Linked DNA regions of Arabidopsis thaliana. The protein of the gene in region 2 interacts with the protein of the main gene of each other region in a pairwise test. Each region holds a gene or a part of one and is shown on either strand. Other genes may lie near its edges.

The links. The genes of interacting proteins can lie anywhere in the genome.
Region 1: the proteins of AT4G26810 (region 2) and AT2G17670 interact in a two-hybrid assay, tested with the Arabidopsis thaliana proteins (one large-scale study listed by BioGRID).

What each region holds. Positions count from the first base shown.
Region 1 is NC_003071.7:7,670,886-7,678,975, forward strand, and holds AT2G17670 (Tetratricopeptide repeat (TPR)-like superfamily protein), read left to right. Parts: upstream 1-3,433; 5' UTR 3,434-3,534; coding exon 3,535-4,926; 3' UTR 4,927-5,391; downstream 5,392-8,090. Other genes in the region: AT2G17650 (AMP-dependent synthetase and ligase family protein), read left to right, coding at 156-494, 579-2,051; AT2G17660 (RPM1-interacting protein 4 (RIN4) family protein), read left to right, coding at 2,474-2,683.
Region 2 is NC_003075.7:13,488,607-13,496,424, forward strand, and holds AT4G26810 (SWIB/MDM2 domain superfamily protein), read right to left. Parts: upstream 4,410-7,818; 5' UTR 4,213-4,409; intron 4,180-4,212; exon of another isoform or gene 4,080-4,179; 5' UTR 4,044-4,079; coding exon 3,870-4,043; intron 3,788-3,869; coding exon 3,641-3,787; 3' UTR 3,472-3,640; downstream 1-3,471. Other genes in the region: AT4G26790 (GDSL-like Lipase/Acylhydrolase superfamily protein), read left to right, coding at 1-216, 350-543; AT4G26800 (Pentatricopeptide repeat (PPR) superfamily protein), read left to right, coding at 1,308-2,852; AT4G26820 (GrpE-like protein), read right to left, coding at 4,847-5,575; AT4G26830 (O-Glycosyl hydrolases family 17 protein), read right to left, coding at 6,120-6,154, 6,449-7,793.

The DNA.
Region 1 (8,090 bases), on a different chromosome or scaffold from region 2:
CACCGTTCGTTAATCACGAGGCAGCACGACTGTCATTATCTGATGAGTTCCCACAACAGAGAATCATCAAACTCGTCTTGATAAACTTCAACAGATACAATAAAGTTTCAATTTTTTTTGAGAAGTCGAACAACAGCCAAATCAAAGTGTTAACCATGAGATTCTTGTTAACCAAAAGAGCATTCAGAATCTTCAACCCACGTTTCCAGAGACTGTGGTTAACTTCTTCTCCCTTCTCCTCAACCTCAAATTCCGGCGGATTTCCCGACGATTCCGAGCCGGAATCATGGAGAACTATAGAGGGTCTTCTCCGTTCCCCTGCAAATTTCTCTCCTTTATCTCCAATCACGTTCTTGGAGCGATCCGCTAAGGTTTACAGAGACAGAACCTCTCTTGTGTTTGGTTCCGTTAAACACACTTGGTTCCAAACTTATCAACGTTGTCTCCGTCTTGCCTCTGCTCTTACCAATCTCGGAATCTCTCGTGGCGATGTGGTTAGTCTCTTTAAATTGTTCAATTTTCTGCTCTGATTAGGGTTCTCGATTTAGGTTTAGTGATAAAAGAGGAAACTTTTATAGGTTGCAGCTTTAGCTCCGAATGTTCCAGCTATGCATGAGCTTCATTTCGCTGTTCCTATGGCTGGTTTGATTCTTTGTCCGCTTAATACTCGACTTGATCCTTCCACATTGTCGGTTTTGTTAGCACACTCCGAGGCCAAAATCCTCTTTGTTGATCATCAGTTACTTGAGATTGCTCATGGAGCTCTTGATCTTCTTGCTAAATCAGATAAAACTAGAAAAAGTCTGAAGCTTGTGTTGATCTCTCAGTCTAATGATGATGATGATAGTGATGAAGATAGCTCATCTACCTTTGCTTCAAAGTACTCTTTTGATTACGAATATGAAACTCTGCTTAAATCCGGAGATAGCGAGTTTGAGATAATCAAACCGAGATGCGAATGGGATCCTATTAGTATAAACTACACTTCAGGGACGACTTCGAGACCTAAGGGTGTAGTGTATAGCCATAGAGGAGCTTATCTCAATTCTCTTGCTACAGTCTTTCTTCACCAGATGTCTGTTTATCCGGTGTATTTATGGACAGTGCCGATGTTTCACTGTAACGGATGGTGTCTTGTTTGGGGAGTAGCAGCTCAAGGTGGTACTAATATCTGTCTCAGGAAAGTCTCTCCTAAGATGATCTTTAAGAACATTGCTATGCATAAAGTGACTCACATGGGAGGAGCCCCAACTGTGTTGAATATGATTGTGAACTATACTGTGACTGAACATAAACCGCTTCCTCACAGGGTTGAGATCATGACAGGTGGGTCACCGCCTCTACCGCAGATCCTGGCTAAGATGGAAGAATTAGGTTTCAATGTGTCTCATCTTTATGGTTTGACAGAGACATACGGTCCAGGGACACATTGCGTGTGGAAACCTGAATGGGATTCACTTTCGTTGGAGGAGAGAACTAAGTTGAAGGCTAGACAAGGAGTGCAGCATTTGGGTCTAGAAGGGCTCGATGTGAAAGATCCGCTGACAATGGAGACTGTCCCTGATGATGGTTTAACCATGGGTGAGGTTATGTTCAGAGGAAACACTGTGATGAGTGGATATTTCAAGGACATAGAGGCAACACGAAAAGCTTTCGAGGGAGATTGGTTCCACAGTGGTGATCTCGCTGTTAAGTATCCAGACGGGTACATAGAGATAAAAGACCGGTTAAAAGATGTGATCATCTCAGGAGGAGAAAACATAAGCTCAGTGGAGGTTGAGAGAGTTTTGTGCAGCCATCAAGCGGTTCTTGAAGCTGCTGTTGTAGCACGTCCAGATCATCACTGGGGACAGACTCCTTGCGGTTTTGTAAAGCTGAAAGAAGGATTTGATACCATCAAACCCGAGGAGATTATCGGGTTCTGTCGAGATCATTTGCCGCATTACATGGCTCCAAAGACTATAGTTTTCGGGGACATACCTAAAACCTCGACGGGGAAAGTACAAAAGTATCTTCTGAGGAAGAAAGCTGATGAAATGGGTAGCTTGTAATCGCCATGTAAGAAACAAAAAAGCTTAGTCTCTGGTTCATGTGTGTATGTAAGGAAACAAAGATCAGAGAATCATAAAACCACCGCGTGAAAATGAAGAAACAGATCAGCCATGGATATGATTTGGCTATAATTAGATTTGTTACGCGGAAGGCCAACGATTTTGTTATTTTTGTGCCTCAGAAAGATTTTAAGACATTAAAAAAAGAAAGAAGTAGCCAAAAGAATATTCCGCCGTGTCTGAAACGAGTCCATTTCGTAGGAAGATTTCAAAGCACAATCTTACTTATCTGTTTTCTCTCTTCTCTCCATTATAAATAAATCTGCATCCTGTGTTAGAATCTTTAAACAAAACCATCTGACTTATCAACAACAACAAGAGGACGAAGAAGAAGAAGAAGATTGTTACTTTCTTGATCGATAATGGCGTCGAATGAAGCTGGAAGGGCATTGCCGAAATTCGGGGAATGGGATGTGAATGATCCAGCGACGGCGGATGGATTCACGGTGATATTCAGCAAAGCCGGTGAAGATAAAAAGACGGGACGGAGTTCGACGAAGACGAATTCACAGAGGAAACAAGATGGTGATAAACCAGCGGTCAAGAAATGGCTCTGTTTCACTTTTGCTTAATCTTTTTTTTTTGTTTGTTGAGTAAGTTTTAATCCTAAGAGAATGTAGCTTTGAGCCTTATGAGCCCTTTGACAACTTTTGTGTTAGAACATTTCATTTCGTTTTTAGTTATCTAATAAAACAAATTCTGAGGTTTTGTTTCTTAATGATAAATCTCTGCATTTGGTCATTTGGAAATCAACAAAATTGTAGTTGTTGATTAAAGAATTGCAAAAGTCATACAAAAAAGGTCTCTTAGATATTGAGGTGAACACAAACTCTTGAACATGTTCAAAATTCATACAAAATGTGTTCTTCCTTACAAAACCTTTCTTTAATCTCTATTGATTTGGTCTGTAGAACAATGTTCTTGTATGGGGTTTATTGAGAAAACACAGAAGATCTTTCGGTTCTTTAGAGAACATTTTGCGGAAAGATTGTTGTTTTTAGGGCTTTGCCCACAAACTTGTACAGAAAGCAAAGAAAATACTGTGTTGAGGCCTTGAGGGAGAGAGGCTATCGCACAAACTGACTTTGGGCTACCATTCAAAAGCCCAATAGGCCCAATGTATTTCTACGGTTTTTCCTATTCGCTAACGTAAGCAACAGACTACCATGCGCCGTCCTCTGTCCATTTTCAACACAACAGACAAAATGCATCTTCACCCACACTTTGGGCCGATATTAACAAGCCCAATAGGCCCAATGTCTTGCCACGGTTTCTCTCATTTGCTAACGTAAGCAACTAGAGTACACGAGTGTAACTACTATACGCCGTCCTCTGTCCATTTTCAACACAACAGAGTCACAAAAACCTCTGCAAGAACCCTAAAGCTAAAACCTTTTTGCGATCAATCGAAAGAAAACAAAAAATGGGGAAAGTTCCGTCGTCGTTTCGTAGTATGCCGGCGAACTTATTGGTCAGAAAAACAACACCATCTCCTCCAGCGCCGCCGCGAGATTTTCGCAACAGAACCGCCGTGGGAGGAGATTCAGCCAAACTTCCCCAGAATACTCAAGCCCCTCGCGAGCCCTCCTTGAGGAATCCATTCAAGTCACCAAATCTCTCAGACGCTAAAAGCCTCTTCAATTCAATCGCCGCCACTTCACGAATCCCACTCGATCTCAAGTTCCACAACTCTGTTCTTCAATCATACGGTTCAATCGCCGTCGTCAACGATACGGTGAAACTCTTTCAGCATATTTTGAAATCGCAGCCTAATTTCAGGCCGGGACGTTCAACGTTCCTTATCTTGCTTTCACATGCTTGTAGAGCTCCTGATTCGTCGATTTCGAATGTTCATAGAGTTCTTAATCTCATGGTTAATAATGGTTTAGAGCCTGATCAAGTAACTACCGATATCGCGGTGAGGTCTCTTTGCGAAACGGGTCGGGTTGATGAAGCTAAGGATTTGATGAAGGAGCTCACTGAGAAACACTCTCCTCCGGATACATATACTTATAACTTTCTACTGAAGCATTTGTGCAAATGCAAAGATCTTCATGTTGTTTATGAGTTTGTTGATGAGATGAGAGATGATTTCGATGTTAAGCCGGATCTTGTTAGCTTCACTATCTTGATTGATAATGTTTGTAACTCTAAGAACTTGAGGGAGGCAATGTATCTAGTTAGTAAGTTAGGTAATGCTGGGTTTAAGCCGGATTGTTTCCTCTATAACACGATTATGAAAGGTTTTTGCACACTGAGTAAAGGGAGTGAGGCGGTTGGTGTGTATAAGAAAATGAAGGAAGAAGGTGTTGAGCCAGATCAGATTACCTACAATACTTTGATATTTGGACTGTCGAAAGCTGGTAGAGTTGAGGAAGCTAGGATGTATTTGAAAACTATGGTTGATGCGGGGTATGAGCCGGATACTGCTACTTACACATCACTGATGAATGGAATGTGTAGAAAAGGTGAGTCTTTAGGTGCGTTGAGTTTGTTAGAAGAAATGGAAGCAAGAGGGTGTGCTCCAAATGATTGTACTTATAATACTTTGCTTCATGGATTGTGTAAAGCAAGGTTGATGGATAAAGGGATGGAGTTATATGAAATGATGAAATCAAGTGGTGTAAAGCTTGAGAGTAATGGTTATGCTACACTTGTGAGGTCTCTGGTTAAAAGTGGCAAGGTCGCAGAGGCTTATGAAGTGTTTGATTATGCAGTTGATAGCAAGAGTTTGTCAGATGCTTCTGCGTACTCTACACTTGAAACTACCTTGAAATGGTTGAAAAAAGCTAAAGAACAAGGCTTGGTTCCATAAATGGTATCCTCTAGCTGAGCTTTACCGACTTTCTTCTTTATGCAAGTCCATATTTCATTTTTGAAGTAGTGTTACTCCAAAAGCAATGAATTTGTTTCGAAATATGCTGTTCGATTCTTAAGGGACCAGCAGTGATTTATAATAGTAACTTTGTTGGTAATATTATTGTCACTTGAGATTTCTAAAGGTTTCCTTAACACTCGAGTTATTGATTGGGTGAAAGTTGTTGCTGTGTTTCTATATGAACAGTCATATTCTATTATTCTGTTTGTATCAGCTTCTTGCCTTCAGTGTCATGTACTCTGTTCTTATGAGCTATTGTGAATACCATAATTGGTTATTGATCTTGCCTTGGGTTGTTGCTTGAGAGATCAAGCAAATAATATTTGCTTTGACAATTGCAATATCTGTTTGGGGTAAATGAGGCAGAGTATCTGAGTAAAGATTGTTTCTTGTGAACAATTTTGGTTATTGATCTTGCCTGGGATTGTTGCTTGAGAGATCAAGCAAATCATATTTGCTTTGACAATTACGCTATATGTTTGGGGTATTAAATCAGGCAGAGTATCTGAATAAAGAGATCGTTTCTCTTGTTTGGCTGCAAGAAGAGACTATTATCTTCTTGAACAATCTTTTCTTATATGCTCTGTTTTAACACTAAGCAGCCCAAGTGCAGAGTATTTGTGAATTATCAGTTGAATTACAAAGTACAAACCAAATCATTGAGGGGGACAAGAAAACAGAGGACAACGTTAATGGAATCATGAAGAAGATTTATAAGTGGTCAACATTCTGGTATTAGTCTATTTCATTGTTTATGACCAAATTCTAATCATTTGGTGAATAAACTCTTTTGTTTATTTTGATTTCTCTTCTGTCATGTTTCATTATCTAGTGTATTTTGCTGCAACATCTGTTTCTTTGTCTCCCCCATTAAACAATAGAACGCTACGGAAATAGATACATATTAGGAAGAAATGTACGTACCGCGAGGTCCACGAATACATGATTCGCCTACCATCATTGTGTAATCTATCGATTATCATAGCCTCCAGCTTTTTCTTTTAGTATAAGTTACTCCTAGCTGTCATGTTCTTATATATATCTTGCATATCTATGACTATGTACTCTAGAGAATATGAAGGAAGCAATAATAGACAATTATGGAGACAAGATGATAAGAATAATCTGAGAGCTTGCCGTGTTCGTGGTCACAGAGAGATAATTAAACAATGACAATGGTGCAAAGATCCTCATTTTTTTAAGACTTTTAATATTTAAGACAGACACAATTGCTCAAGAGCTTAATATAACTCTTGGAGTTTCCATTATGAGCTAGGTTGCTTATGAAGAAGACTAGTCATTCAACGTAGAGACTCTGTTGAGCAGTATAATTCCGTGAGTGCTAAAAAAGATGTAGCTTTTGTAAAGAAGACATGATTTTATAGTTTCAATCCAATCATATATCTTCTAATATCGATTTATAATTTTATAAATGTAGCGTATAATTAATATTTATAACTAAAGAAGTAAAGAGCATAGCCAAGAAAATACTAAACTCAAACTATATATCACGCCACAATTATAAATCACTTTTGTTTTTTTGCTAATCCCCTATGTGCAAATTAAGTGATGTATAAGGTTATTATACACACATCTTAAATAACTACGTGAATTAAATATTTATCCTGTTTGTGTTATAAATTATAAATTATTGTTTAAGAAAGTATTTGATCAATAACAAAAAATATATGATTTATAACACAAACAAGATAAATATTTAAAAATATATTTCTTAGATAAAAAGAATGAGAACATCACTTAAACAAGATAAATATTTAAAAATATATTTCTTAGATTAAAATAATTTATAGTCATCAAATAAATTACGTAATAACTAAAAATTGTTTTCTTTCTTTCTTTTTTTTGGCTCGACAAACAAATAATATCCGCTAAACTATCATATGTAAACCAAATTTTGGGTAATATCAGAATTTTATCGAAAGAGGATTATGTACAGGATATGAAATCATATATGTTATCAAAATTAAACTAAAAAAAGTTTTAAACTTTAAATGTTCCGTTGTGGTCTAGGCTACTACCTAGTTTTTTTTTTTTTTTTACAGGCTACTGTCTAGTTCATATCTTAGAAACTCGCGTGTCATTAATATCTTAGGAGCATCTCTATTACAAAAGATACCACGTAAAAGCTTTTATGTTGAACATTGAAATTGTAACCAAAGATAGAGGATCAATGCAAATCATCATGAACTTAAGGATATACTCTGGATCGGATGCCAACCTACACCAAAAAATTATTATTATTTTCTTTTGTCAAATATTTAACGTACAAAATAAATTTGTCACAACAAGAGTCGCAGATTTAACATAGTCGAGCAAAAAGACGGAGTGACAATATTATAAATAAATAAAAATCGTAAATAAATTGATTTTTTAGCTATATTGGAATTAAACAATAATGCATTTCTATAATATTATTTTTCTTTACAAAACAATAAAAACATTTTACAGCAAAATATTACTCATATAATTTATATTTTTAAATGTAATTCGAGTAATTAAATTCAAAATATGGGTCATTCTAATAAATTTTCTTTTGTTTATTTGCATAACAAAGTATTATTACGACAAACTTTTCTATCATTTCTTATATAGTATAAGTGAAAAATGCACCTCCCATATAATTTATTTATTTTTCACAAAGCACATGCTCTTTAATTTGTAGCTACATAAATATAGATCCCATAAACTTTTACAATTGAAAATTTGATTCCGTAACTTCTACATTTAACATTATGCATTAGTCTTATTCATAATATGTAAATCTAATTTTTATTTTACTAGTAACAATATTTAATGATTTCTTAATTTTGAATTCTTTTCAATATTGTTAGTGACTCTTCTGCCAGACCCAATACATAGAAAAATCAAATGTTGCAGCAATCAATAAAATGCCGATACAATCAACGAAAGATTCGACTATTTTCCACGTGTCATAACACAAGATGTTGAGGCTAATCAGACAATATAGGTATGATAGGACGAGGCATAATATGGTTGAGGAAGATCTGCATTTCTTTACCTACCGAGACAATTCATAGACCGTTGACATTATTTTAATTTTAGAGTAATCGACTATCTAT
Region 2 (7,818 bases):
GACTCTCTCCTTTTGGATGCTTACCCCTGGAAAGAACAACTCAGCTCTTTTATGGAAGCAAATGTATTGAAGAATACAACATTGTGGCTAGAGATTTCAACATCAAGATGGAAGAGAAAGTCTTCCAGTTGAACAGAGATCTGAACGGAATCCAGCTGGTGTTTTCAAATCCATATGACCTTGTTTCAGAAATCATATACCATCCTGAAGCATTCGGTTAGTACAAAGTTCTAACAAAAATATTTTCCCAACCATTGCAACCCTGCAAAGACATAGGGCTAAGTTTCAATATGTACCAAATGCTCTTAAATCAAGAATTCTTATGATAATATTCCTATGTGCATTGCAGGTTTCGAAAACGTAAGAAGTGCGTGTTGCGGAACGGGATACTATGAGATGAGCTACTTGTGTGATAAAATGAACCCATTCACATGTTCGGATGCAAGCAAATATGTATTTTGGGACTCATTTCACCCAACAGAGAAGACAAACGCCATCGTAGCAAATCATGTTCTGAAATACGACTTATCTCGGTTTCAGTGATAAAATAAGAAATTGCTACACCACAAGCACTATAGTTATTAGTTAACCTACTAAATTCTTTCCTCCACAACATATATATTTTTTTCTGTGAGTTTCTTGTCTAGATATCACTCAAATCAAGCTTCCAAAATGTTGTACAAGAACCATTCTTCTTACTCTATGTTCGTGTGACTACATAAAGATGCTACTGTGATGTTATAAAAATGGACAAGATCAAACTTTAAAATACTAAAACAGAAATGGAAGTGAATCATGAAGCCAGAAACCAAAAAAGCTGACATTTGTGACTCAGCGTGACAACTAAATCAACCATTTTGCTCACCAAAATCACCGGAGGAATGGCCCAGAGCTAAGAAGATGCGAAAGCCAGGTTCATAAAAGAAGATGAAGAAGAAATCAATTGGGATCACAGTGAGAGAATAACAAATGCGACATTTTCGACAAATCCTTTCCGGACGAGACAAGAGGATGCCATTAGAGAAAAGGAGGATCGAATCGAAATTGTGCAATCCGGTTCGGTTTCGTCGAACCGTTTTAAGCGTTTGGTTATTAATTTTGTACGGTTTTCGATTATTGTAAACCAAAAACCTAAAAAGGCTCGATTGTTTCTAAACCGGTTAAAGTTGTATTTCTTCTCTGTTCAATTCTTTCAGTTCTCTCAAGTCTCAAACACTTCAACACTGTAGGGTTTAGGGTTTATGGTCAAAATCCCTGAGACAGAATTTGGGAACGAACCCAAATCAAGCTGAAGTCGAAACGATTGGATGCGGTGGTCGATTGCGACTGCGATTGCTTCAACGGCTAAGGGGTTTCTTCATCTTCATCACCATTTTCTGAAGAACAGTAATCCTGGGATTGTTCTTTCTCCGTCGTTGAGATTTCGTTTCTGGGTACGAGCTTTTTCTGGTACTACTATTGATTATCGAGAGGTATTGAGAAGTGGGCTTCACAATATTAAGTTCGACGATGCATTTCATTTGTTCGTACTCATGGCTTATTCTTACCCTCTACCTTCAATTGTTGAATTCAATAAAGTATTGACTGCTATTGCTAAGATGCAGATGTATGATGTTGTGATTAATCTCTGGAAACGTATTGAGAATGCTGAAGGTATTGAAATTTCACCTGATCTCTATACTTGTAACATTTTGGTGAATTGTTTCTGCCGCTGCTTTCAACCCTCTTCGGCTTTATCTTATCTTGGGAAGATGATGAAGCTTGGTATTGAGCCTGACATTGTGACTGCTAGCTCGCTGGTCAATGGATTCTGTCTCAGTAATAGTATTAAGGATGCTGTTTATGTGGCTGGCCAAATGGAGAAAATGGGAATCAAACGTGATGTTGTAGTCGATACCATACTCATTGATACTCTTTGCAAAAATAGACTTGTGGTTCCCGCGCTGGAGGTTCTCAAACGTATGAAAGACAGAGGAATTTCACCGAATGTTGTTACCTACAGCTCTCTCATAACTGGCCTTTGTAAATCCGGTAGATTGGCTGACGCCGAGAGACGACTGCACGAAATGGACTCCAAGAAAATCAACCCTAATGTTATCACTTTCAGTGCATTAATCGATGCATATGCAAAACGTGGGAAACTGTCGAAGGTTGATAGTGTGTACAAGATGATGATCCAAATGTCTATAGATCCTAATGTTTTCACTTACAGTTCACTTATCTACGGGCTTTGCATGCACAATCGTGTAGACGAGGCCATTAAAATGCTTGACTTGATGATAAGCAAGGGGTGCACCCCAAATGTAGTCACTTACAGTACTCTTGCAAATGGATTTTTCAAGTCGTCGAGGGTAGATGATGGGATTAAACTTTTAGACGACATGCCTCAAAGAGGCGTGGCTGCAAACACAGTCTCTTGCAACACTCTTATCAAGGGCTATTTTCAAGCAGGCAAGATAGATCTCGCTCTAGGAGTTTTTGGATATATGACTTCTAATGGTCTGATTCCCAATATTAGGAGCTACAACATTGTGTTAGCTGGTCTATTTGCTAATGGGGAGGTAGAGAAAGCATTGAGCAGATTCGAGCATATGCAAAAGACTAGAAATGATCTTGATATTATTACATATACTATCATGATTCATGGGATGTGCAAGGCTTGTATGGTGAAAGAAGCATATGATTTGTTCTATAAACTCAAGTTCAAAAGAGTGGAGCCCGATTTTAAAGCATACACGATAATGATCGCAGAATTGAATAGGGCTGGCATGCGGACTGAAGCAGATGCCTTGAATAGATTTTACCAAAAGCACGTTCGCCAAAACGAAAGCGCACCAGCTGAAGTATCCTAGGAGAATTTTCTTGAGAGACATTTACAGACTCGGAGCTTGCAAAGATATCTCTCTACAGGCTCCCTCTTATCGGATGCAAGAACACAAATCTTGATGGAAGCCAGTGTATCAAAAGATACCACGATGTGTCCAGATAATTCAATCGCACTGTTGAACAAGGAGCTGAACAATGAGCGGAAACAATCGCATGGTCTTAGAATCATGAAAAGTCCTGAAGTATTTGGTTAGTAATAAGCTTTCTATCCCTCAAAAGACATACACTAAGGTTTATGAGTATCAATTACTCTTTTTTATCAAGAATTCTTCTCACTGTGTTTTTAATTCTCTTGCAGGTTTCCAAACTGCATCTGGATACTAGGGGATGCGCTACTTGGATGATAGATTGAACCCTTTCACATGTTGGGATGCAAGCAAATATGGATTTTGGGACTCCTCATGTATCCCATACCACAAACATGTTCCTTAACATGCTACATTCTTTCTTCTACTAACTTGCTCTGTTTCTGAGTTGTATTCGTTACCAATGATCACTTCAGGTTGCTTGATATTATTTGAATCAAGCTTCCATAATGTTTGTAAAAGAACCAGTTTTTCCCACTATATGGTGGAAGTGTGTAAGTACTTAAAGATGATCTTTTGATGTTATAAAAAACACAGCACCACCCGACAAGGAGAAACTGTTTACATAAGAAAACAGAAATAGAATTGAATCCAGAATCCAGAACTTAGAAGTATCAATCATATATCTTTAAGCATCACAGAACAAAACGACCCCAAAGAAGCAAAAGTTAAATTTTCTGAGAATTCTTCTTTTGTTCTTTGGGAAAATGCAACTTGATAAGAGAAGGAAGATCGACTAGCTCCACTCGCTGCTTCCCGAGCAAAATGCTCTTGAGCTTCTCATCACAAATCACCACATTCTTGTTCTTAGGATCCTGTAAGAAACAAAACCAATCAGTCAATGAGACAAAACATTTTAAAAAAAAATCTTTAGCTTAAATAACTTAATGATCAAACCTGAAGATTGTTGGTCTTGATATAGGACCAGACACGCATGAAACAACCCAGACGGGAAATCTGAGATTGACCAACAAAGTTCCGTAGAGTAGATGGAAGATTCACGAGGTCAATCAAATTCCCAAGCTTCTTTGGATTATCCGTTATAGCCTTCTTCAACCTCTGGGGCAGCATCCTGATTCTCAACCCACGAGTAAACCAGAAATTCGACTGCCGCGGAAAAGCAAAAGAGAAAAAACGTTAATTACCACTGACAATCCCTTTGGGGAATTTCATCGAGCATGTGGCGTCCAAATGAAAAGCAAACGACCCTACGTACAAAAAGCTTTTTAAGAAAGCTTACCCGTGGAAATGGTAGAGGAAATTGAAAGCAACAAGTCCGTGTAAACCAACTGACTCGCTTTTAACCCGTAATGCTTGCGATGTTTTACGCTTCGACCTTGGAGGTATTCTCGCGTTTGAACGCTGGAGCTGCGATAGAGTCAAAAAGTCTTCTTAAGAACAAGGAAGAGACTACATTGTGTTACTTTGTGACTTGACTATTGGGCCGCGTTTTCTTTTACATTTGGGCTGAATAATAATATATCCTTGTGACTTGGAATGATTGTTGTGGATGACGTGTAATGCAATAATTTAGTTTAAACAACAAAATCGTCATACTCCAAATCTTCAAAATCTCAATTCTTCCGTTTAGTTTGTCAAAATCAATTGGAAAATCCAAAACAAATCAGCGTGATAATTATTCCATTAAGATTCTCACAACAACTGTTTTCTCTGCTCTTGTGGATATGAATGTATCAAGCCTAATTTCTAAAGGTCATCGATTGTCATCAAATTAAGCATATCACTAATATTGTCATCAACAAAAAAACATACATAATTAAACATCATTGACCAGCCGTAAGTCATCTAACATCACACATCCCTAACAAATTGCAAAAACAAACTCTAATTGACCATTGTTAAATATCTAAGACCTAAGGATATTTAGGGAGACGTACACTGCATACTAGTCGACCATCGAATGACAAAACCGATCTATTTGTCCCATAGATCTCGTCATCAACATTATACAACTTGGCACTTACATTCTCACAAACGGCTGACATGTACTGTTCTCCCCATAAAGCAGAAGTTCCTGGATAAAACCCTACTCTCCCAGAAAACACCATATCAAGACCCACCACACCTCCTGTCACCGCCACTTCATCCTCCATTTCCCAAGCCGCCTCTTCATCGATAACTTTTGTTTCGTTTCTCTTGACAATAACCTCGTTCTTCTCTCCGCCTTTCTGCCAGAACGAATCAGCTCTTGCGGTCGACACGAGCTTTCCCCGGTGAACCAGCCACACTGAAGGATTCTCGTACGTGACATGGAGTTTCTCGTTAGGGTTTTTGATAGAGAACGTTGCGGACCAGACCGGGAGATTGTGGTTGGCGAACGATATATGCATTGATTGTACGTGTACTGTGGGGGGAGTTGGCGTAATCAATATGACAAACGTCACACCTGCTACACAAGCACCCATGATCGTGATGGCTAGAAAGAGTTTGAAAAGTAGTGACCAGTGTGAGATATTAGCTGGTTCGGATTCTTGGTGGCTCCGTGATGATATTGGTCGGAGTTCCGGGACTTTTTCGGTATCAATGACGGTTATCAGAAGCTGTTGATTCATTTCTTCAACCAGGTTTTGTTCATCATCCATATTGGGATTTATACAAGTGCTGATAATGTTTACTTGTTTATATGATGATATCTCAAAACAATTAGAGAAAAAGATTTATCTAGTAGAGATTATAAAAATTAAAGATATTAATAATTAAAATCTTTATCATTTTTTCTGATTGTATATATAATAGATAAAATGATTAATAAAATCATTGATTTCTATAATCTCAACTAGATGAATCTTTTAGTTTCTATAGAATCATTTTATCCACTATACAAGATTTTATTCCTTCTAATATATATACCCTGAAATTCTAATAATAATATACTAGAATAAAATATACTATTTTTGCAACATAAAATTCATTTTGTTTATTATGTCAAACTTCAGCATTCATGCAAGATTTTGAGAATAATCTAGTGATGATATAATTTTAAATTAAAATATATAAAATAGTTCAACAAAGTTAATATATTTTATACACAATATAAAATATATATATATTCCCGATTAGCAAACAATGTACTTAATAAATCAGGCAAAAAAAAAAACACAGAAAATTGCTGCCAACTATTCCGCCTCAATGTCCGGTGGGAAACTCGCATTTTCCATATCCTGCAATCAACGAAAAAATAATTTTGTTAGAATTATATAAAAATATTAAAGGTCACCATATATATCGATCTTACAGAAACGTGAACATCTTAAAAGGCCAAAATGACCCAATATAGCTCAACTTTCACAACCGCCAACTACTAAACCATTTGCCACTATCTTTTTCTTTTTTTCAATAAACATACCAAATGAATTTTTAAGCATAAATAACAGCTAAATATACACTTCTGAATTGAACTAAAGCAAAATATGTAATGTTATGATAAAAACAGAGGAGAGATTAGATTAACGTACGAGGAGGTTGCGTGACGACGTGAGCAGCTCCACCAAAGAAGCACGTACCAACACGACGTGAGTTCTTCTGGTAGTAACTATTGAAGGCGTACGAAGCGTGAGCTTCTAACGACTCAGGATGATAACACGTGGCACCTGGCTGAATCGGGCGGCAATCAGCTCCTCCTTCTCCGCAAGCGTAATCAAGAGCCTCCTGAAGTTTCTCCTTCGCTACCTCTCCGTTCGAAACGCACCATGTATGTCCCTCGTGCGTCACCGGAACTTTACCTCTGTTACCGTTGACCGGCGTCGTTGACTTTTTAGTGAACGGAACGTTGTACACTTTCCCTTCGTTTGGGTAAAACAAACCGTAGTTTCTCTCAGACGTTGGCCCCGGTTTCTGGTTTTCGTTGAATAAAGCGAATAAATAGACGTTAAGTGGCTCCGTCGGTCTTAACGGTGTTCCTTTACCCGTTAACACTCTCTTCACAAGTCCGGCGTTATACGCCGCCGCGTTAGATTCGCTTGCACCAATCTCATTCTCATCTCCAACGGAAGGCCACCCTGTTTCCGTCACCATCACCTTAACGCCTTTAAATCCGACGGCGGACAATGCCGCGTAAACGGCGTCTATTTGAGCGTCAAAGAGACTGTTGTACTTCAATCCGGTACCGGAATCTATATTCCCGGCGTTTTCTTTAAACAGAGCGTAGTCTAAAGAGATTTTATCGGCGTTTGCTGCGTAAGCGAAAAACGGATAAGCATTTACCATAAGATACGACGACGTTTGTTGAAGCAGAGCAAGCATTGGTTTAACAACCGGTTCGATTAATTCCGGTTTAAAAGAACCAGAGGAAGGCGGGTACGAATTAGCAAGCGCGCTAAGAGCAATAGGAGACGAGATCTTGATGGCTTTGTCGAGTTTATACTTAACCAGAGAGGTGTGAATGTTCTTCATCGCATTGACAAGATACGGCGTGATCGTCGGATCGACGAATACTTCGTTACCGACGGCGATAGCTTCGATCTCCGTCGCTGGGAAGTATGGCATTATGTGGGTTTTAATCCAGTTGTCGGCGAATGATTGGTGGGAGGCGGCGGAGGAGAGAAGCTCGTTAGGGAGAGCGACGATTACTTTGATTTTGGAATTTGCAAGTGCGGTTAGTACATTCTTATCGGTGTCGAAGATTTTGATACGGTTGATTCCTTGAGATTTCAGGAGGTTCACTACTTTCTCCGGCGACGGGAGATTGTTAGCTATCCGACCATAATTGACTCCGACCATTCCAGAATCTGTGGAAACAAAAACAAAAAAAACGCAAAATAAGAACAACGTAGTAGACACGGCAAATACAGAGACAGACATAGGTATATGAAGAGATTAAAAACTA